Linked DNA regions of Diceros bicornis minor. The protein of the gene in region 2 purifies or fractionates together with the protein of the main gene of each other region. This does not show direct contact. Links are inferred from orthologs where the notes say so. Each region holds a gene or a part of one and is shown on either strand. Other genes may lie near its edges. The genes, in order: CHM, RAB5A and RABGGTA.

Evidence for each region.
Region 1: the proteins of RAB5A (region 2) and CHM purify together in Homo sapiens (affinity purification with mass spectrometry; 3 studies listed by BioGRID and IntAct, counting the BioPlex papers as one, with this or other methods). This does not show direct contact. The link is inferred for Diceros bicornis minor from reciprocal best matches to the Homo sapiens genes RAB5A and CHM.
Region 3: the proteins of RAB5A (region 2) and RABGGTA purify together in Homo sapiens (affinity purification with mass spectrometry; 3 studies listed by BioGRID and IntAct, counting the BioPlex papers as one, with this or other methods). This does not show direct contact. The link is inferred for Diceros bicornis minor from reciprocal best matches to the Homo sapiens genes RAB5A and RABGGTA.

What each region holds. Positions count from the first base shown.
Region 1 is NC_080781.1:78,471,845-78,479,675, reverse strand, and holds the start of CHM (rab proteins geranylgeranyltransferase component A 1), read left to right. Parts: upstream 1-4,752; 5' UTR 4,753-4,755; coding exon 4,756-4,804; intron 4,805-7,831. UniProt on the Homo sapiens protein: Substrate-binding subunit of the Rab geranylgeranyltransferase (GGTase) complex.
Region 2 is NC_080741.1:25,753,991-25,761,848, reverse strand, and holds the start of RAB5A (ras-related protein Rab-5A), read right to left. Parts: upstream 3,034-7,858; 5' UTR 2,948-3,033; intron 1-2,947. Other genes in the region: EFHB (EF-hand domain-containing family member B), read left to right, coding at 7,804-7,858. UniProt on the Homo sapiens protein: The small GTPases Rab are key regulators of intracellular membrane trafficking, from the formation of transport vesicles to their fusion with membranes.
Region 3 is NC_080744.1:23,743,498-23,750,460, reverse strand, and holds the start of RABGGTA (geranylgeranyl transferase type-2 subunit alpha), read right to left. Parts: upstream 3,062-6,963; 5' UTR 2,992-3,061; intron 2,812-2,991; 5' UTR 2,758-2,811; coding exon 2,755-2,757; intron 2,591-2,754; coding exon 2,480-2,590; intron 2,102-2,479; coding exon 1,977-2,101; intron 1,787-1,976; coding exon 1,599-1,786; intron 1,379-1,598; coding exon 1,175-1,378; intron 876-1,174; coding exon 792-875; intron 704-791; coding exon 621-703; intron 532-620; coding exon 430-531; intron 325-429; coding exon 219-324; intron 126-218; coding exon 74-125; intron 1-73. UniProt on the Homo sapiens protein: Catalyzes the transfer of a geranylgeranyl moiety from geranylgeranyl diphosphate to both cysteines of Rab proteins with the C-terminal sequence -XXCC, -XCXC and -CCXX, such as RAB1A, RAB3A, RAB5A and RAB7A.

The DNA.
Region 1 (7,831 bases), on a different chromosome or scaffold from region 2:
ATGGAGATTTATTAGTCTTTCTAGTCTTTGTATGAGCTTTTTGCTGACTTATTAACCACATGCGTATTACTTGTTCAATTACAAACACAAAACCAGCTGATGAAACAAGTTTACTGGGCAATCAACTCATGTTATTCCCATTTAGAAGTACTAATGTGTTGTTTCCTGAAGATTTCCTATACTTTATTATTCATCCGTCCATTCAGCAGCTTTTCAAAAAACTTATTTTTTTGACAAGTAAAAATTATATATATTTAAGGTGTATAATGTGATGTTTTGATATATGTATACAGTGTGAAATGATTACCACAATCAAACTAATTAACATATCTATCACCTCCCATAGTTACCATTTTTTTGTGTGGTGAGAACACTTGAGACCTACAATCTTAGCAAATTTCATGTATACAATACATTATTATTGACTATAGTCATCATGCTGTACATTAGGTATCTAGAACTTATTCAACTTATAACTGAAATTTTGAACCCTTTGATCAATATCTCCCCTTTTCCCCAAACGCACAGCCTCTAGTAACCACCATTCTACTCTCTGTTACTATAAGGTTGACTTAAATTTTTTTTTTTTAGATTCCACATATTAGTGAGATCATGCAATATTTGTCATTCTGTGTCTGGCTTATTTCACTTAGCATAATGTTTTCCAGATTCATCCATGTTGTTGCAAATGGTAGGACTTCCTTCTTTTTACAGGCTGAATAATATTCCATATATAGATATATATCTATATATCTATACATCACATTTTCTTTATCCATTCATCTGTCGATGAACACAAGCTGTTTCCATATCTTGGCTACTGCGAATAAGGCTGCAATGAACAGGGGACTGCAGATATCTCTTCAAGATAGTGATTTTATTTGCTTTGAATATATACCCAGAAGTAGGATTTCAGTGGATATTTTGAGTGCCTATTATGTGCCAGGCACCGAATGATGTATTGGGAATATAACGATGAATAATATAGGCACAGTCCTTGCCTTTGTGGAACTTACCTTCTAGGAAGATGGCAGATATGAAACAAGTAATTGCATAAGTGATTTTATATTTTCAATTATGAAAAGTTCAACAAAGGAGTAGTACAGGGTGATAGGAGACCTAAGGTAGACTGAGGACTCAATGCAGACAGCAGAGTATGTGATGTTTTGAACGAACTGCAACATGAGTAGGATTAAGCTAGGAGAAAGGGGGAAGAAGGATAAAAGTGCACCTCAGGCACACGGAAGAGCATTTCTGAAGTCCCTGAAGCAGGAAGGAGCATGGGGTATTAGAGGAAACGAAGGAGAGCCAATATGGCTGGAGCTTAGAGAGAGAAGGGTGAGAGGTATGAGATGAGACTGCAGAGTTCAGCAGGGTCTTTTAGACCATGTTTAAAATTTTGGAGTATATTTTAGGAGCAATGGGAAATCACGAAGGCTTTAGGTAGAGGAGGACATGATAAGATTTGAATTTTTAAAAGTTTACCTGCAGTGTGGAGAGCGGACTGGAGAGAAGCAAGCATGAATAAGGGCTCTAGCTGAGACCTCCTGTCGTAGTCTAGGTAAGAGATTATGGGGCAGTCTAGATTGAGAAGTAGATATATTTACAATATAGCTTTGAGATAAATCTGCAAGAGTTGCTGATTAATTGGCTTAAAGGTGAAATAGAGTGATATATCAAGGATAATTTTCTTAAGTTTTTGACTTGAGCTAACTGACTAGAAAGTGGTACCATTTCCAAGGTAAATAACATTGGAAAAAGAGGTTTGGGAGCGGGGTTGAACTGTTCAGGAGTTCAGTATTCAACACGTTCAGAAGAGATGTTGAGTAAGGGGTTGTGTATATGGATCTGGAACTCAAAGGAAAGGCCAGGGATAGAGACTATTAAATTACTGGTTTGTAAACGATGATACATCAGATCCCACAGTTGAGTAAACTTCTAAATACAAGGTAAATGTTCATAGAATCGTGGTTTTTCAACTCAGGAAATCAAGTACAAAATTAGTGTCACAGTGATTGAATAGGGTAGTATATTTGTAGGTATCCATCATCTTATTGTACTGTGACTTATCCAAATAAAATATTTCAGTTCTCAAAAATAGATGTCCTTAGAATAATAGAATATATAGAAATTAAGTTGTTTTGCTTTATGATATTTTACTGATATTATCAACTCCTATATTTATGTTTACTTTGCAAAAAATCTACAAAAATACATTTGAAAGAAAAGGTATTTTGAGCATTTTCTCCATGCAGAGGCTTTAAATTTTTCTAATGTAATAATCTTTTCCATGCCCAGCGAGTGTGTGATAACTTTAGAGAAAGGAAGCTAAATATGGGCTGGCAATTTTATCTTTCTGAGAGTTGTGCTTTCCAGCCTCAGAAAAAAGGGAATTCAAATTTGGGGCAAAACATATTGGAAAATTAGTACTACGGAGTAATCACTTGTTTATTTTTGTTTTTTACTTCACTAGATATAAACTTCATGAAGACAGAGATTTTTGTCTTTTAGGTTCATTCCTGTAATCCCAGTGTCTAAATCAGTGCCTTGCACATAGTAGGTATTCAATAAATATTTGAGGAAAATTGAATGAATTTAATGAGTTGTGTCTTCACAGTGTGATTGCATTTGTTAGAAAATTTCTGAATCCATAGAAAGTTAGATATACTCATATCGAAAAGGATATATATATATATACACGTACACATGTATACACATATATCTCCAAAATAAGATAGAAATACTTTTATTTATCATGCTTCTAACCACCCATCTATGGCTTCTCTCTGTTAGAGGAGATTTTGGAAACTTTCTTGTGTCTACCTTGGGAAATCTTTAATTTCCATTTTCACTGGTGGTGTTAAGAGTCTCACAGATAAGATCTATTTCACTTTTGATAATACTCAAAACTTTCTTTTCATATCAAAGCAAATGGCAGAGTGGTTTACTGAACAATATATTACACTTCTCAGAGGAATCTCTTTTACACAAAATATTCATCAGAGGACCATATCACAAGAGAATTGTTCAATATAACAAGATAATCTATAAAAGAAATTAATGAAACATGCACAATGTTGCTAATGATTATAGCAAAATGCAATGAAATGAGGCAAAAAAAACCCATTAAAATACAATTTTAAGAATTTTCATGGAACTTCAGCAAAGTAACAAACATGCATTGAGCATCTTCAGAATATAAGATACCTCATAGTAGTTGGCAGACATCACGGTGAAGACTTAAGTCCCTGTCTCCATAGTACTTACCATGTATTAGAGAAGTCAGAACTAAGCTCAGTTCAGCAAACACTTATTTAATCCCTACTCTGCACCAGGTTTATGTTAGATGCAGGGGGTAAAAAGATAAATAAGGCACAGTCCTTATCATACAGGGGCTTATAATTTAGAACGCTGTATATCTGGATGTGTATTTTTGTGAGTATGTCTGGGGATATGTGTACTGTATAGGAACCAAGATAAACGCAAATAATTTCAGTGTAATATGGCAGTTTATGACAGAGTGGTAGCACTACATAGAGAAATTTAACCCAATATAGGGAGGAGATAAAAGGAGGAGGTGGTGGAAGCCGAGCTGAATCTCGGGGATAAATGTTAGCTAGAGAATGGGAAGATTATTCCATGCTGAAGGAACAACAGTGTGACTGGGGGACCACAAACAGCTCAGAGGACAGGAGGTGTGAGGGAAGGTCCACTACTGCACTCTCTCTCTGAATTATTTTGAAACTCTTGCAAAATAACTACACAATGAATTTCTGGGATCAAAAAAGTACTCTTCCTCACTCCCACGCACCCTTCCCTTCTTTTTTGCTTTGGTATTGCCAGACAGCAAAGCATTTTAAATGACGGGGGGTGGTGGGGGGAGGGGGTGGGAGGAGGCCGACCTTGAAAATACTTATGAGAGCTATGTTAGCTGCTTCGCATAGACAATCTAAGCCCCTTCATCAAATGCAATCAGTTTAATATAAAGGCCATTTTACCTTGATTATTTCTGCGGTGGCTTATCAGGAGAATCTTGTACGGACTTCTCGTATATGTATAGAAAACCAGATTCAGAATCAATAAACGCTTATCAAGCAAATACTATGCTTTCATATGTTTTTCCCTCCTGTAAAGCAAGGCTAATTTTGCAAATATATATTGCCAGCGTGGCTGTTTGGACTAACTAGAACAAATACAGACACGGCAAGGGTTCCATTCTGGCGAAACTAGGGCGAGAGGTTTTTTTGTGAGTTTTCACTGGGGAGACACACAGACAAAAAAAGTACGGGATATATTTTGAAAGTATTGTGTGAAAAATTACGCCTCGCGGGCCAAAAAGAAAGTACAGACACACTGGGGGAAACAGTCTCCAGGCTGGAATGAAAATTTCCTTTGTTCACAGAGCAATCCTCTTTCAATTTCACTCCGCCCTCCGTGTCTCTTAGCAATTCTTGCTTCATCATTGTCAAGGGGTATCCAGGTCTTCCCACATTCATCGGAGTAAAAATCTACATCTTTTTTCTACTCCAAACCTCCAAGCTAAATGTGCTACTGCACTCAGCCTGGAAAATGAATCGAGCTTTTAATATTCGCCTAAACATTTCAAATATAATGCTGTAGCCGCCTACCTGGACCTGCCACCCAGGAACTACAATACCCAGAATGCACTGTTTTCCCTTCCGCCTTCTACCAAAGCAATGCCTAATTTGATCTCATTTCCACAAGCAATAGTCACATGACACGTTTCCTGTCAAGATGGCGGATAATCTCCCTTCGGAGTTTGATGTGATCGTAATAGGGACGGGTATGTGTGGCTCTGGTACTCCCCGGACAAAGTGTAGGAAGTCTATCTCGTTCCTACCTTCTCTGTCAGTGGCGAGGATTGGCGAGAAATGCCGAGGATCGAGTATAGGAGGGAGGACGGAAAGGAAGTGAGGTAGTCTGGAATCAGCGCGGGACTTTGCAGCTCCAGGGAGGGGCTTGGACCCGCGGTGCTTAGCGCCGTTTGAGTAGGGGTCGATCTGGTCGATGCCGATTGCTGAGGTTGGTTGCTGCGGGTGATTCCTGTAATTTACTTAGAGGGAGGTGGGTTTGCAGTGTCATGAGAATGGAGGGTCGGGATTATATCAGTGGAGACGCCTTTGGCATGACATTATGATTCCCTCCTTGTTGATTTCAAGGTGCTATTCCCGATCAGTTTGTCTCGCCATTGCATAGGAATTTTTCATATAGTTATATAATCCTAGGGTGCAGTGCAGCTCAGATACAGCTTAATCCTCAGTTTTCAGAGAAAGATGCTCAGTTGTTGCCCTTGTGCGTGTTAATTCACTGGGGTGAGGAAACGGATTCTTTTCTATTGTGTTGAGAAGCTTAGGGAATTGTATTTTGTTGAGGTAGCCATTATTCCTGCTTTATGGTGCTGAAAGAAGGCATTTTGCCTTCTACCACCCACGTGTCTACCCACAACGAAATGAGCTGAGAACAAGCTGCTGTTAGTTCCAGTTCAGGTGTGTGACCTTATCTTTCCCTTGTTTTCCCATCGTTTATTTTCCATGTTTTGGGTGGTGTCAGAAACCCCCAGCAATTTCTAGTTGACAAATTCCACGTACAACTCGTGGCAGAAGACATTTGGCAGCAATTGGTATTTTGTTTTTCTTAACAGTGTAGAGTGGATTTTAGATGGGATGAAATAGGTTGTTGGGTGGAGTTTTCTCCTGTCTGCAGAATGTGGTAGGCCGGAGAGGGTCTGGTGGATGAGACCCTGACCATTGTGTTCATGAGTTTAGTTCGTTGTCCTCTCAAACAGTAGGAGCAGCCATGTTACCAGGGCGGGAGTAAAAATAATAGCTACCTGTTTGAATGCTTATTGTTTGCTAATCTATGTGCTAAGCACTCTACAAGCCGTATGTAATCCTCACAACAGCGTTGTTAGAGTAGGTATTCTCTACACTTTACAGAAAAGGAAAAGGGAGCTTAGAAATGTTGCAGTTTGCTCAAGATCACACAGCTGGTAAATTTCCAAAGGCCCATTCCATTCTAGGAGAAACAGTGGTTTTGACCCTCAGAGTTAACCCATATGAGTAGAAATAATTGGGAAAACTTTGTTCTAGACCATGCTTGGCCATTAACTAGCTGTGTGAATTGCTAGGACTAGGCACTTAATCTCTGAGTCTTAGTTTTCTTGTTTTTGAATATAGGGAGGGTCAACTAGATAGCCTTTTAGATGTTGTCTGACCAAAAATTCTCTTGTTCTGGTTGCACCTGGGTAATTGTTCTCAGAACAGCGAGGACATGTTTATTCCCAACCTGAAAACTGCATGGGTGCAGATAACCTGGCTGTAGCTGCTATATACAGATGTTGGATGAGAGCTGGAAGGAACCAATAGACTATTCTCTTATTTTATCCAGTCTATCCTAAAACTAAGAACAACATCCATTTTAGAATAGTTGTTATACCATACTTGGGATCTATATTATTGCCTTTCTTTTTTATTACCTAGGAATTTGGGGTGTTTTAAAATTTTTTTTGAACCATTGAGACTTTTTTGTTATCTGGATTCAAGTTTTAATTGATGAGTGCTAATTCTTATTATTAAATGCTGTTAATTCTTATAATAAATTTTGCCTTCTGGTTCTGTTCATAATATGGACTACAGCCATTCCATTGGAGTCTGTTATAATAGAGGTAGGAAGATACTGTGAGTGATACAGAAAATGGCTTCAAGAGGCATCTCGTGTATTTGGAAAAAGATTCATTTTAGACTTATTCCAGTGAGAGTAACGTAGTTTCTCAAAGCATGGGAAGAAGTTATTTGAAGTTGATCTTAAAAGTTAAGGTTTTCATATCACTCCATGTTGAACACATTCCGAGTTTATCAAGCACATTGCTTAAATTTATGATATGGAGCTTTGTTTTTAGGTTCGTCACATTGGAAAAATTGGATGAAAGTCATTTCCCAAATAAATGATTCCAATAATTCCAATCATTACTTAATTGGAATTATTTTTAATGTGTTTGGACTATTTCTCTTCTGAAATAGTTTGCTGAAAGTAGCCGTTAAAACGTGTTTGCTTTACTAAATGTACTAACTTGAGTAAATCATAAGAAAAGCAGTGTTTCGTAGATTCAGTTTTACCAACAAAAGCATAATTAATCATGCATGTATCAGAAACATGAAGAAATAGGCTATGAGATGTAATTTTTCTTTTAGCAGATTTAGTTCTAGTTAAAATGTCATCAAGACAGTTGCTTCATCAGTAAAATCTCTGGATAATATTTTAGATCCCTTTGACCTTAATTAATATATTTCTTTTCATTTTTCATAACAAGATTTTCCTGAAGATCATGTTTTGAAGAGATTATGAGAAAATAAAGTTTTGTGTGTCTTTTCTTAGTTAAGCACATTTCCTCTTGATTACAAAATGCAGGAAATCTCTCTCAGACACCCAAAGGCAGAGGAATAAGATAAAGTACTTGAACCATGGAAAATATGGAATAAAATGGAATAAGGAAGGAGGGTCAACTGAGTCTTAAGGGAGAAGACACAAATGGATATGTGATAAGTGTCTACAAAGTGGCCTTCAGTTTGGGTACACAATTGTCATTTTAAAGACATTTTGTCATTTAAAAAGATTTGAATGATAGTTTTGTGGGTTGTAGAGAAGTGTCGTTGGCTTCAGGTTAAAAATAGTCCCAGTAACATAACACATCACCCGAGGTGACTTATCTGGCGACCTGTGTAATCTGCAGCAGAGCCAACAACTCAGTAGAAGGGCAGGCAAGATGGAAATGACAAGAGCTATGTGATAATATCGGAATGCTTCTTACACG
Region 2 (7,858 bases):
GAGAGGTGACTCAAGAGTTCAGGTTCTGGAGCCAGACTACATGGGTTAAAGCAGTTTTGAGGAAAATTATGTTAATAAGTAGAACAGATCCTAGAACAGAGTAAGAACTCAATAAATGTTGGCCATTATAATCTGAAGGCCTCCGTTAAATGGTACACGTTCAGGTCGCCCCGTGGCTTAGCGGTTAAGTGCGTGCGCTCCGCTACTGGCGGCCCGGGTCCGGATCCTAGGCGCGCACCGACGCACCGCTTCTCTGGCCATGCTGAGGCCGCGTCCCACATACAGCAACTAGAAGGATGTGCAGCTATAACGTACGACTATCTAGTGGGGCTTTGGGGAAAAAAAAGCAGGAGGACTGGCAATAGATGTTAGCTCAGAGCCAGTATTCCTCAGCAAAAAGAGGAGGATTAGCATGGATGTTAGCTCAGGGCTGATCTTCCTAAAAAAACATATATAAATAAAATAAATGGTACATGTTCTTTGTTTAATTAATGGTAATTTTGGAGCAACAAATATTTAAAGGCTCCCAAGTTTGTGTCTAGTGGCTATAAGACAGAATTGTTTCCTCATGTGCTCAAGTACATCATACAGGCAAATGATAACCATGGTTCTCTTATGTGGTGAGCTTATTAGTGTCTTATTTACTTATACTTTTCTGTAGTTTTGGGGCTATGTCATTATTTTGTATTTAACACATTTAGAAGAAACTAGCCGGAATGGCAACTTGTGTGTCTTCTCTTATCATTATCTAATAACGCTAATTTTCAATCTCAAAGAAATTAGTAAACATTTAAAGAACTCTTTTCCAATCCATTCACAAACCAATCATAATAGTTTTCTCCTATCTTTAATCAAAATCTGATCATGGGCTTACTAATAATATTAAATCTGATGATTCTCTCCCTAAAATCACTGTTATGTTTCATTTAGGAACCTGATATAAGCAAATTTGCCTTCCCCACGAAATGAGTTTATACAAGAATTCCTCTTGACCATGAATTCATTAATAAACCTATCCATGAGGCCTTACATTCTCGAGACAATAAAATCACCTCTGCCTCATCTAAACAGCAGCTTTGAAGAGTCCTTATCTTTTAGTAATACATACCAAAATACTTAACAGGTGAAATGATATGTCTGAGTTGCTTCCAAACAATGGGAATGTAAATAAAACAAGACTGGCCATAAGATAATTGAAGTCAGGTGACAGGTTCATTGCACTATCCTCCCTACCTCTGAATATTTAAAAAATTTTCCATAATGAAAAAACGCTACAACCCCCATATCTATCCTCCCATCCCCTTCAAAACACACCAGATTTGGGGATACAATCCTGGCTGGCTATACCAATTTCTGCTGGAACAAGTGCTTTCATTTCCAAATCTCTACTTCCAGAATACCTAACTTACATAGCTGCTGTGAGAATTAAATGAGAGAATATATGTAAAAACTCTCCAATACAGTGGTCAACACATAGTAGGGATTGAAAATTGGCAATTAAAGTGGACCGTTGATGAGATAATGAGCAAATATCAACAGAATGTCACGTAGATGAAAATGCACCAACACACCTTTAGATTACATAGAACAGCAATTGAAACACTTCCCAATTGTCTGATTACCTACAAACAGTAAACTAAATTACTCATCAAGGACAATATACTCCGAATTTCCATGGTACTTCCAAAATTTCAGGGAAAACATCAGATTCCCATTAAAAAAAATTACGAATTAGCTTTGCCTTTTAAGGTTTAAAGCTATTGGATTATGGTTCCTCCTAAGGCTCTCAAACAGAAAATAAATTTAACTATACATATATAGTTAGCATAACATTACAGTTAAAAAACGCACATTTGTATTCACTATTGAAACTTCTCTATTTTGCAAAACAAGATTTTCCATAAAACGCATTTTTAATCTTTTGAAAATAACTGGTATTCTATAGTTAAAGTCCTTCTGGGTGCTCTTTGATTAAAATTGCTTTAATAGCAGCAAACATTTACTAGATACTTCTGTGCCAAGCACTATTCTATGAATTTTGCTTACAACAACCCTATGAGCTTATATGATTATCCCCATTTTACATTATGAATAAAGTTTGTGAGCTGTCCTGAATTATCAATGGTGTATACGTGTTTTTTTCCTACTAGTTATGCGAAAACCAACTGATTCAACACTGTGACTCCACTTAAGCAAAAGACAAAAACCAAATATGTGAATTACGACGTTCAGAGCTTAAAAAGTCTCAGGGGGGTAAGCAGCTTCCAGGAAAGAGAACAGCAGAGCAGGTTTAATGGTCTCTACCCACTGAGGGTGTTCAGCGGCCTAGCTGTCTTGAGTTCTTCAAAGCTGCGGTTCACCACCTTCCATAGATGAGACAAGAGTCTCTAGACAGCCTATTTTGACGAGCCTCCTCCTCCTCCCTCCATTAGCCATCTCTGGAAGTCGAAGGCAGGCGGAGCTCCCCAAATTCACACCTGCCGTAGGCCCCGGTGCCTCCTTGGAGATCACCTGAGCAACTGACACCAAACTCCGGATCGCCTGAACGAGCAGGATCCGCCAGGCCCCCTGGCCATCATTCCCATTCTCCTCCCCTGAACCTGGCCTGGCTCTGGCTGGGACCCCCCAGGGCTGCCAGGGCAGGAGCCAGGCGGGACCGCGGCCTCCAATACTCTTTCACGGCGCCATCTTGAGAAGGGAAGAGGGTGACACCCGTCGCTCCCGCAGCCAGTCCCCAAATCCTGGTCTCCAGAGCCCCTTGAAGGATGAGTCACCAGGCCGGCAGGACGAGACGCCGGGTTCGACAGCACTCCGGTCCAGGACACCCGCGCGCGCGAGGGAGAAGGGGCGGGGGGCTCGGGGCCGGCAGGGCCGCGGACAGACTGGGGACCGCGAAGAACCCGGGGTCCCGGCCCGCTGTGGGCAGGGCGAGGGACGGTCTGGTTACCTGAGGCCGCAGCACGCGGAGCCGCGGGGCTGAAGCTTCCCGGCAGCAGGTCACAGGCGTGTCCCGAGAGGAGGCCGAGGCTGTGGCTTTGGCGGCGGCGCGTCTCCTCGCGCTGCTCCCCTTAGACTGGACGGTGCGGTGCTCGTGCCGTGGTGCCGCCCCCGTCGGGCTCCGTCTCCGCCTCTCTCCGCTCCGCCTTCCTCTTTCCTTTCTCCTCCGCCGCCGTCGCCACCGCCACCGCCGCCGCCGGCGCTCGAGTTCCGACTAACTCTTCCTCCTCCTCCCTCCTCTGCCTCCTCCCCACAGGCCGGCCGCCGGGTCCTTCGCAAACCAAAACACAAACACTCAAGTCCCAGCGCGGGAGCCACTTCCGCCGCCCGGCGCCGACCTCGCCGCCACGTCGCTGCACGTAGCGAACTACGCCCCTTCGTCACTTCCGGTCGTCACCTGTCCGACCGCTCCAACCGTTGCCCCGCCCCTCTCAAAGCCCTCCCAGCGGGGGCCAGTTCGCGGGGCGGGGCTTGTCACGTGACTCCCGGGCAGTGGGCTCGGATCCCGCCGCCTCCCTCCTCCCTCCCTCACCCGAGGCGCGCGCGGCCCCGCCCCCGCCGGCGCCATTGTTATCTGGACGGCGGTCTTGGCCTCCTGGCGGGAGGGGCGGGGGGGAAACTCCATTACCGCCTAGCTTTCGGGGAAGCCCCAGAGATCTTGGGTTTGTTGCTTCCAGCGTACGTGGGGCGGCGAAGTTCCCTCTGTGTATATGAGCTCACAGTTCCCCGTACCCTACCCCGCGACATCCCAACCCTGGTAACTCGCCTAAGGGGCTTTTTTGAGGGGACTTTTCTACCACGAGAGAGCCCCCCAGCGTGTCCCTGTGGATGGTTGGGTCGGTCAGGGCCGGTAAGTGGTGTTTACTGCGGGGAGGAGGATGAGACCCTCCCCATCCCAAAAGTTGTCTTTAGGCGGGGAAGTCTTAAAGTAATAACATGCTTTTATTGCGAGTTTACTTGTTTTTGGTGGGGAGGGGCAAATCCTAGAATAATAGCTAACTTCATTCAGAGTTTCCCTTCACGGGTCCTGCACTTTACAGGAATTATCCCATTTTATTCTTACACCATGAAGCTTTCACTCTGAAACTAACTTCATCGTCTGCCTCCCTGCATTAGAATGTTAACTCCCCAAAGTGGTCCTCACCGCTGTCTGATTAGCACAGTGCCTGGCAGCCAGGAGTCTTAAGTCATGGTTGTGGAATTAGTCAATGAGGCGTGCCTGTTTTACAGGTAAAGAATTTGAGGCACAGAGATTGAGTAATTTGTGCAAAATCATCGCGGAGTTGGTGATGAAATTGCATTCTAACCTGCAGGCTGGCTCCAGAACCTGAGTGCTTAAGCACGACTGCAGTGAAAAACAAGCCATTAATTATCCTCCACTGGAGACCTATATAAGACAGGCTTCTTTGGTTAAATCTCACACGATAGACAGTCTCTGACCAGGCATCTGAAACAAAACAAAACAAAACAAAAATTCGTTTTGTAACTTGGTAGAATGTTAAATTGATTTTCCCTCAGGATAAGGGCTACTTTTCAATGTGCAGTTTACCGTTTATAGCCCTGTTGTGAGGACATCGATATGGATTGTCTACTATGTGTACTTGGGGTAAGGTATCTTGTTGGTGCTCAGTCAACATTATGTAATGAAGATGATTTAAACCCTTGAATAGCCAGTCTTTCAGATCAACTCCCTAGTTACTAACCAGAAGAGCATAATGTGTCATACATAAGTGGTATCTGTAGCACTTTATCCCCAGGGGTTGTTCCAATATGATGTGTTAGTCATGGTAATACCTCTGGGACAATCCTAGGAAGAATCAGGAAATAGGATATGTCACATCAGTTTTGGCATGTCAACAGTATGTCCAAAACCAAACCTATTCCACCCCAAACCTGCTTCTGCTTGGTGACTGGTATTAATAGCCTCCCAGTCACATGGGCTTGAAAGAGCAGAATCATCTTCAACTCGTCCTTTTTTCCCTCTTAAACCGTTGTCCATTCTATCACCCAAAATTCTCTAATCCCTAAATCTGAGATGTAATCCCAAAGCCTGGGCCCTGATAGTATTCATATAAACTGGAATTAATACATGCTCCTGCCTCTTCTATCCGTTCTTTATGCTGTAGCCAGTCACTCTCCTACTCAAAAATGTTCAATGCTATCTCATTACTTGCTAAATACAGTCCAAAGTTCTTCAACTCTAGTCCCAACCCACATTTCTTTCATTCTGTTTCTGTAGCCTCCCTCTATCCCAAACTCCTGCTTTGTGCCCTAATCATACCAGTCTACTCTGTGTTCCCAGAATGTTGCTTGTGTGTTCTCATCTTGGTGTCTTTGATCGCTTTGTTTTCTCCACTTGGAACACCATTACTGCCTGTCACTGCAGGTCTCACCTTAGCCAGGATGCCAACTCCTCTGGACCACATCTGATGATACTTCCACTGGATTTAGTTATCTTTTTCCTATAGTTTCATGATACTTTGCCTTACTGTCTATAATGGTTCTAATATCTGCCTTATTTTACAGTTAGAGAGTGCCTAGACTTTTCTCCTTAGACTTTCATTCCCATTAGGATTTTAAAGTTCTTGAGGGCTTGGACCATAATTTAATCGTCAATTCCTCCAGAGGACCTTTGATTCATATAATAGGGACCCCAAAAATATTGGTGAACTTAATTACATTTAGAATGGTGAACGTATGACTTAAGAAGACCTAACAAATAACACATGGATGCTGAAATTTGTAAATTGCTGGAAACTTCCCATTTCATTGTTCTAGGATATTGCTTCCTCATTCATTTCTTTCTACCAATTTTATCTTTTAATTCACCTCCTTCATGAATACATTCCACTATATTTTATTGTTTAGTCATAGTGTTTGCTTGGGAGGGTGCTGCTCCAGTGGCTAGCACCTCTAGAATCCTGTGGTAATTTTGGAGAGATTGAAATGCCACAGTAAGCTTTGCTCTTGTATTGCCACTCACAATATGCCTGTGTTTTTTCCTAACTCCAGATGACTGAGGACTGATAATTGTATATATTTTAGTGGGAAATGTGGGATCCTACTTGTTGATAGACTAACTATAAAATGGATGGGCCCTAAATAAAGTCATAAAGACTTGAACACTGTTCTTAGTGCTTCCTTTGCCCTCAAATCTCTAAACACCCACTCACAAATTCCCAGCAGTTTGCATCTCTCAATCATCCACTGCACCCCCTATCTTCTACTTTCCCTTCCAGGAAATCTTTCCTCCATTGTGTAGTTGAAGAATGAGTCTTTGCCTCGGTGGTAAGGAATGGTAACATTTTGACTGGAGACAAACCAAAAGGTAATTCTAACATAAAGAATCGTAGGCATGATGACAAGACGCTGAGAAAAATGCTGTGGAAACTTGAGCTAGTCATGTTTAAAAAGCATGTCTCTGCAGGGCATCATGCAAGCTCAAATGTCACCTACCTAAGGGACTTCTAAGCCCCCCAATTCTAAAGTAGCTTCCCTTTACATCAAAGCATTGTTTTCTTCATAACACTTATCACTATGTGAAATGATCTTATTTATTGGTTTACTTGATGGTTACTTATACCCACTAGAATATAAATTCCATGAGATAAGGATTGGCTTATATTCCACTGTATTCCGAGCACTGACACAAGGTAGGGACTCAATAGCTATTTGTAAAATGAAAGAATTGAATGAACTCTTATACAAACATACCTTGATTTATACACTATCAAGTCATTTAAAGTGATTAGGGTGAGAAGAATATTTATATTAACTATCTAGAAAATTACACGGTTTTTACAAATGTGAAATAGTATCCTTATCACTTTTAAAATTTTTGGATTTTAAGTTTTTCATAGAGTTCTTAAAAAAATTGGATTCCCATAAATTCCATTCAAATTCTAAACTAGGTGTTCTATGTCTCCTGTATGTATAGAACATGACAAATATTCACCAAACACGCTCTCATTAAAACCTGACAGAGGTGTAACCCCAATTTAAAGAAAATCTCATACTTAAAAACATTAAGTTTGAATTTGCCACAATATTTTAAAAATTCAGTATGCATTATTGTGTAACACATCTCAAACTTTAATATATTTACTTTAAATGATATTTAAAGGCTAGTTATTAAAGTATGTGTTCTCACAGATTTGAACATGTTTCTATACCACAGCTGCCAAATATAACTTTACAGAATTTAAAGTAGTTTTTTAGGGCTTTTAAACTACATGCAGTGTACATGTACTTGCACAAGGAAGGACCTAAAATTAGTGGCCACCACCAGAAAAAGGGTTATTTATTCCCTGATCACCGGTAAAATGAATCGGCCACCGGCCAGGAGGAAGCCCATGGATGAACCCATCCTAAGAGGATTGCATTGCTTGGGAAACTAGAGAGAAGTTGGTGAGCATTTGCTCTAGTGCCGAAGACCACATCCTTCAAGTTTTCTTGATCTCCAAATCTGGTAAAGAAGGGGGGAAAAGTGACAGAATGAGAGAGAGGGAGAGAGAGAAAGAGGGAGACAGAGAGGAAAGGGAGAAGAGGAGAGAGAGAAACGGACGGAAGAGAAAGAGGAAGAGATGGGCGGGGATCTGCTCGGGAGAGAGAATTGCACGCCAAGCGACGCCCCTGTTTCCCAGGTAACCGGGTAAACAGACCTCCAGCTCCGTTTTCCCTGTGAGCTTCGCTAGGTGTTAAGTAGCGGGCAGGGAGTTCGAGTGGAGATGTGCTCTTTCGTGAGAGTTGGGCCCCCTCAAGGAATTGGGAACTTCCCTCGAGCCAGGTACAGCTTTCCCCTTAGAGATGAGTGCCCTTGAAGGAATGAGAGTGTCTGAAAGGAAATCTCCCCTGAGCATGA
Region 3 (6,963 bases), on a different chromosome or scaffold from region 2:
GCTCCCAGCCTCCCGCCCCAGATGCCTGACGCCCAGAGCTCTTCTCCTTGTCCGTGTGCTTCCCTGTCATCACCTGAAGAGCTGCTCGTCTGTGGCCGAGTCCCGGCACCAGGCCTCCTGGCGGCCTGAGAGAAAGAGGAGGTGGGGGGAGGGGACGCCATGAGAGGAGGGGAGGGAGGGGGGCTGCTGCAAGGGGTGCAGAGTGCAGGTCGCATCACCTTTTAAAAGCACACACTCCTTCTGGGCATCGCCTGCTGTCCAAATGACATGAAATGTATGCTGGGGCAGCTGGTCGTTGAGAGAGGCAGCGGGAAGGTCACAGAGCTGGGAGCACAGGGTCAAGGAAACACCCCGGGCCTCACCATTTTCTGACTGTCCCACCCCAGCCCTGCCCCAGCCCCCCACAATGCCCCACCAATCCTAGGATACCCAGACATGGCTGGCCTGGTTCCTGCCATCTGGGGTCCTCCATTCCACAGCCAGGGGCGACTCATCCACCATAAGCAGCAAGGTCTCCATCCTGGAGCCCACCTGGCACAGGGGACAAAGAGAGACCCATCAGCCCAACAGCACCAGGCCCACAATCCAGGATGCTCTCCAGCAAAAGCTGCAGGACTCACTAGGAGGGGCCGAGAGAAGGAGACAGTCAGACAAGCCTCGTCCCGGCTCACGTGCAGGCAGCGCAGGGCATCCTGGGAGTCAGCTGGGGGAAGACACAGCCTCAGGTCTCCGTAAATACTCTTCCATTCCTTCCAAGCCCTAAACACCCAGCCTCCTCCTCCATTGCTCACCTCGTCCCAGGAGCCACCGGTGGTAGAACCAGGCACTCTGATCATTGGGGTCAGTGAAGAAGGCGTTCTGCACCAGCTCCAGCTCTGCAGGGGCCAAGGAGGCACGGGGCTGTGGTCAGGACATCCCACCCTGTCCTTGGAGCACTTCCAGCCCTCAGGCTCAGGTATACGCTGGCCTTGCACAGGGGCTGCATACATCAGTTTTATCTTCCCCATTGGACACTTATGCTCTCTGCAGCCAGGGGCTGAATCTTATGCACCGCCAGAGCCAGGCATGAAGTAGGTGTTCAATAAACCCAAGAGGCAGGTTCAGGAACAGAGCTAGGCCTCAGGGCTGGAGGATGGGCTACAGAGTCATCCCCAGCACCCCTGACTCTGCTTACCTTTGAGCAGAACATCCTCGGGGAGGCGCCCCTGCGGTCCACAGTCTGGCTGGGGGTGCAGCTGGGGCAAGAGGCAGGAACGGTAATGCCAGGAGGAGTAGTTGGAGAAGTTTCGGGTGATGAGGCTGTCAGTGAAGGCTAGCTCCTCGGCAGGGGGCACAGCTGCCTGTGCAGCCACAAACCGCCGGTAGTCCCAGCAGTGAACTGGGGGGGAGGGGTGACAGCACATCTCAGAAGCAGGGCAGGGGGAGCTCCCTGGCTGGTACCCCTAGCGTTCCACCCCTATGCACTCCATGGAGGATGCATTTGGCTCTACCATCCCTTCTGCCACCAGTTCAGTGGGCCTATCCTGGCCATCCCTCCCCACTCTGGGCCTTACTGATGTGGGGCAGCTGAGGGCTGTGGGGACAGAACAGGCACGTACAGTTCCGCTCATCGACCTCAAGGAAGCGGGCACACAGTTCCAGCTCCCGGGCCCAGTTGGGCTCTGGCAGGCGGCCCAGCAGCCAGCAGCGGTGGTGCCAAGTACCATAAGACTTGGGGTTCACCCTCAGGCAGCTCTCCAGGAAGCCCAGTTCTGCCTTCACCAGAGCGGCCAGCTCCTCAGGGGACCTGCACCCAGAGGGGACTGGAGGTCAGGGCCCTCCAACACCCACCTTCAGCTGTCCCTGCCTTTCTACACCCAGCCCTCCACTGCTCTCTGCCTCTGCCCCTGGCTGCCCCACTCCTCCTCTACCCTTGAACCCAGGCAGGGCAGGGGCAGGGCCAGGGCTGCCTTCCTGGGGCACTGAACCCCACGCACTTCTGGGCCTCCAGCCGCTGGAGCACCTCTCGTCGACAGTTCCAGAGGGTGGCAAAGTCAGGGTTGGCCCCCAGAATCTGGCTTGTCAGTTCCAGCACGGACTCATCCAGCTCCCCAGCCTGGCGCTGAGAAGACGGGTAGCAGGGTCAGAGATCATAACATTCTCCCACTGCAGAGCTAAATAACATAAACAGAGCTACCGAATATTCTGTGAATCCCATACTATACAATAGGTACAATGCAAAGTGCTTTAAGGGTTTACATGTATTTTCTCACTTAATTTTCACAACAGCCTTACACAGTAAGTGCAATTATTAGCCCCGTTTTACAAATGAGCAGACTGAGGCCCAGAGAGATTCAGTAACTTGCCCAAGGTCATACAAGTTAGTAAGTGATAGAACCCAGATATGGATCCAGGCAGTCTGACTCTGAGGCCCAGCTCTCAGCCTCTGTGCTATACTAAGGAGGCCACCTGGGGAGGGGGCTACCTCTGAGGGCCCCACCTTCTGGAAAACCGTCTGGGTCGCTGACTGGTATAGCTTCAGCTTCTGTTCCCGCTCTAGCCTTTTGGCCTCCGCTTGCTCTTCCGATGTCTTCACCTTCAGGCGCCCGTGCTAAAGGGATGGGCGGGTTGGAAGGGTGCAGGCTGCCTTTCAAGGGCAGACCCACCGAACCCCCCACTGCGGAGTCCCAGGTTTATATAGTGCAACCGAGGCAAGGCCAAACGGGGCGAGGGCACCGGCATTCCAAGGCGAGGGGTTGGGCTCAGGGTTCTCACCATGGTGCCGGCTCAGGATTCAGGACAGGGGAGGGGTCCAGCGGTAGCCCGGGAAACCTGGGGAGAGAGGTGTCAATCATGGGAGCCCCGCCCCCGACGGCCCCGCCTCCAGCTGTCCCCCGGAAGCCCCACGCGAGCCTCGGCGGAGACCCCCCCCACCCCCCGGGGTGTGAATGGGTGCCGGAACAGGCTCCGCACGGCTAAGAGGAGGCTCTCCCACCCGCATGGGACTTGTACCCGTGCGGCCCTGCCCACAGCCCGACCCGCTGGGGCCGGACCCGAGCCGGGGCACTTGGGTGATGGGGACCACTCTGCGCCCAGAGGCTGCCGCTACCCGCCCGCCCCACGGCTCCCAGACACTCCCGCCCCTCGCGGGCGGACCCACCTGCGCTGGGAGGAGGCGTGGGGGACGCGGAGCTGCGGCGCCCGCCACCGAGCCCAGCCGCTGGCTAGAGCGCCGCCACGCCCCGGCTCTCCGAGGTGCAGCGCCCTCTGCAGGCTTGGGGAGAGGCCCGCGGCGGAGTAGGCGGGCTCCGGAGGCGCGTGCGCGGGGTCTCGGCGCGCGCTGTCGAAAACCCGAAGTCCCCGTTAGCCCTCTGCTGTGTACGAGTACGCATGCGCGAGTATGGCTCGCGCGTGGAGGCTGCGGGGCTGCTATTCCAGTTCTCTGCTCCAAGTGCAAGTTAGTTGAAGAGATCTCTCCAACAGCTGGAAACCCACGCCCTCCCCACTCCATTGACCTCACTCTGGCCGGAGTGGCCACCTCCTAGTTGCCAAATCTAACTGACGGAGTTTCTTGTCCTTATCTTCCTTGACTTCTGGGGCATTTGACGCTACTGCCTTATTTGACTTGACACCTTGTTCTGGCTTCTCCTCGTGCACCTTTGCCCTTCTCTTCTCTTTTCTTCATCTTTTCTTGCCCTACATGTTGGTGATCTCCAGGGCCTTTTCCTCATCCTCTTTTCATTTCACACGCTGTTCCTGGGAGAACGTTCACAAATGCAAGCCTTCAATTGCTTGGAGTTGAAGCTCCCCAGAGCTCAGGGCCCACAAAAGTCTTCTGGCCCACACTTTCTCTGGGTGACTTCACCCACGCTCACGGTTTTAATTTCTGCCTGTAAGCTGATGACACTCAAACTTGTATCTCCAGCCCAGATGTCTTGCTAGCTTTAATAATGAACACATAGATATGTACACACATATTCATATATATGTTGTATATGTTTTATAAATATGCCCACACATATTCAAAAGCCTGTTAGATATCACCTGTATAGACACAAAATAACCGATAACCATTCTATAGATAAGAGAAATAAGGTGAGTTTACTTGAGCCAGAGTGAGGATTATAACCCGGGAAGGCCTTAGACAGCATTCCGGAGAAGTGGGGTTTTCAGTACAGTCTTATATCTTTTTAGAACAAAGTACGTACATTAAACACACCCAGGATATGTTTTCATCAAAATTTCAAAGAGGTATCCAGTTGCAAATTAGCAGGTCAACGTGACCGTGATGTCAGGAAAGGGACCAATGCAGGCGTTACCAATAGGGCCTAGGAGGGGAAGTATGCATTCTTGTCTTAAGAAAGTGTATTCTTTACTTTAATCATTAAGCAGATGTACAATGTATGTTTGATAGGCCATAAGTCAGGCTTTTTAGTTCAAGCCAAATCCGTTTTGAACCCCAATAGTTACCCCATATACCTCAATATGTGAGAAGCTCTTGTCTCCTGGGTGTCCCAGAGACGCCTTGAACTCCGAAAGTCAAAAGGTATCATTGTCTCCCTTCTATCCAGTCTAAATTTTGGCCTTTTTCTTTTCCTCTTGCAGTGAATGGCACTATTCCCTCCTCACTTTTCCTTACTATCTCTTAAATGCCCTCTCCCTTCCCTGTGCACTAAGAATTGAAGCTCATTTCTTCTCCTGGTTGTTGAAAGTCTTTTCAATGTTCCCTCATCTACACCCTGTCCCCTCTATTATCAGTTCGTCCTTTGTGCTGCTGGATTGATCTTTCTAAAATGCAGATTCAATCATGTCACATCTCTGCCTAAAAGCCCTCCGCGGCTCCTGAGAGCTTTTCAGGACAGTCTTGAATCTCTCAGGTTAGCACATCAGGCCTTTTGGCGCTTGGGCCCTGCCTACCCCTCTGGCCTCATGTCCTGCCTGTCCCTGTTAAAAACTCTTCATCACAGCCGATAGAACAACTTGTAGTTTCCCAAACATGTTAACCTGTTCCCACTTCTTGCCTCTCCTTCCTCCACACGCCTCCTTTGCCAGGGTAACTCCTGTTCATCTTTAAGATTTAACTCAAGTGTCACCTCCAGGAAGTTCTCCAAAATGCCCCAGTCTGGTTTAAAAGACCTTCATATGTGCTGTCAAAGATAGGATTTATTTCCCCGTGCCTACTGTAAGTCTTGGGTGGTATGCCAGCATCTCCTATCAGATTCAAAGTTCCTTTAGGGCAGAAACAACACTTTTCTGGTCTTGCCTCTGCAATACCTGGCCCTGGTTCCTAGTAGTTATTTGAATGAATAAACAAAACACCACATAGTGAGGGCTGGCTTGGCTGGCCCTAACAGTGAGCGCTGTTGGCATTCAGGGGTGGGAGAGATCGTGTGGCCTGGACCAGCTCAGGAAGGTTTCCTGGTGGAGCCTTCATGGGGTTCAAGGTGGCCAGTGAATGTGTATGTGTGAGTGTGCGTGATGTATTTGTGAGACGTGTGTGTCCATGTGGTGTGTGTATGTTTATAACTCACATCCGGGTGAGGAAGTATGGCTTTAAATTCTTTAGAGTTCTTCCACACCTTTCTCGGGCCCTGGAAATGTGTGTAAAGTGCCTACCCTCTATTCTGTCCTTTCCTAGGCCCTGTACCAGGGTACAGAGGAAAAGAGACACTTTTCCTGGCCTCGTGTACCTGCAGTCCCAGTGAGCAAAGCATGACACCACTGCTTTATTATCTTTGTGCCCGGCACTGTGTCAGGAGCTTTACACACACACAGGATTACACGTGGGAGGCAGGAAGCAGAGTAGTTAGGAACGTGGACTCTGGAGCCTGGCTGCCTGTGTGCAGATCCTGGCTTTGTCACTTATTAGCTTTGTGACCAGGGGTAAGGTACTTAACCTCTGTGTTGTGTTTCCTCTGTGTCTTAGTTGCTTAAACAGTAACATAGAAAAAATAATAATACCCACCTGCCGGGGTTGAAGTGAAGATGAGATAAAAGAATCTATGTAAAGTGCTTAGGATAGTAAAGGCTAGGTAAATAGTAATAGTAGTAATGATAATATTATTTCTGATCTTTGTGACAATATCTTGTGACAAGGAAATTGAGGGTCAGAAAGGTTCAGTAACTTGCTGAGGGCCACCCATGTAGTAAGTGGCCAAATGGGACCTGTGGCTGCTCTGGTCCAGCCCTCCCACCTCACCAACTGCTTTTTTTTTTTTGGTCACCGCTTGCTCTTGCTTCCTGCTCTATAACAATCACATGTACAACCAGATACCTGGGAATGTAGATTCCCACAGGTGTAGATTTCCCAAGAACAGTCTTACATCATAGTCACTAAGGGAGGAGGGAGCGGGGGATAAAGGCTGAAGTAGACAGGAAATATTTTTCAGTGATTAGCAATCTTGAAACCAGGGAAGCTGAGTCAAGCAAGCTTAAGAGAGGAAGTGAGTCTCATGAAGAAATCTGTTTCAGAGAATGAAGGGCCTGGTTTTGGAAAAAGAGGGCGGGAAGGGCATTTCAGGCGTGAATGATGACGTGGAGGTTGGGGAGAGAAAGCCAAACAGACTCAGCTGGCTGGCAGACAGAAGCTGAGCCAGGTGCCTTTGGAGATAAGAGCAATGGAACCAATGACGAGCCTCTTGCTTTAAGGCAAAAGGAGCTGTCAGGAGTTATATTTGGCCGCCTGTATGGAATAAGTGGGAACCAGGCAGGTGTCTGAGGGCCATGATCTGAATGATGTTTGAGGAAGGGATTTTACTGCCTCCTATGTAGAGAAAGGAACAAGCAATAATTGAGTACTGACTGAGCCCCAGACATCTTATTTAACGCACTCACTACCTCTATGAGGTAGGTATTATTATCCATATTTTACAGTGAGGAAACAATGCATACAGTGGGTTCACAGAGGATAAGTTGCTTGCCCAATGTCACACAGCTGGGAGGAAACACAGCCAGAATTCAAACCAAAGCCTGGGTGTCTGTCCA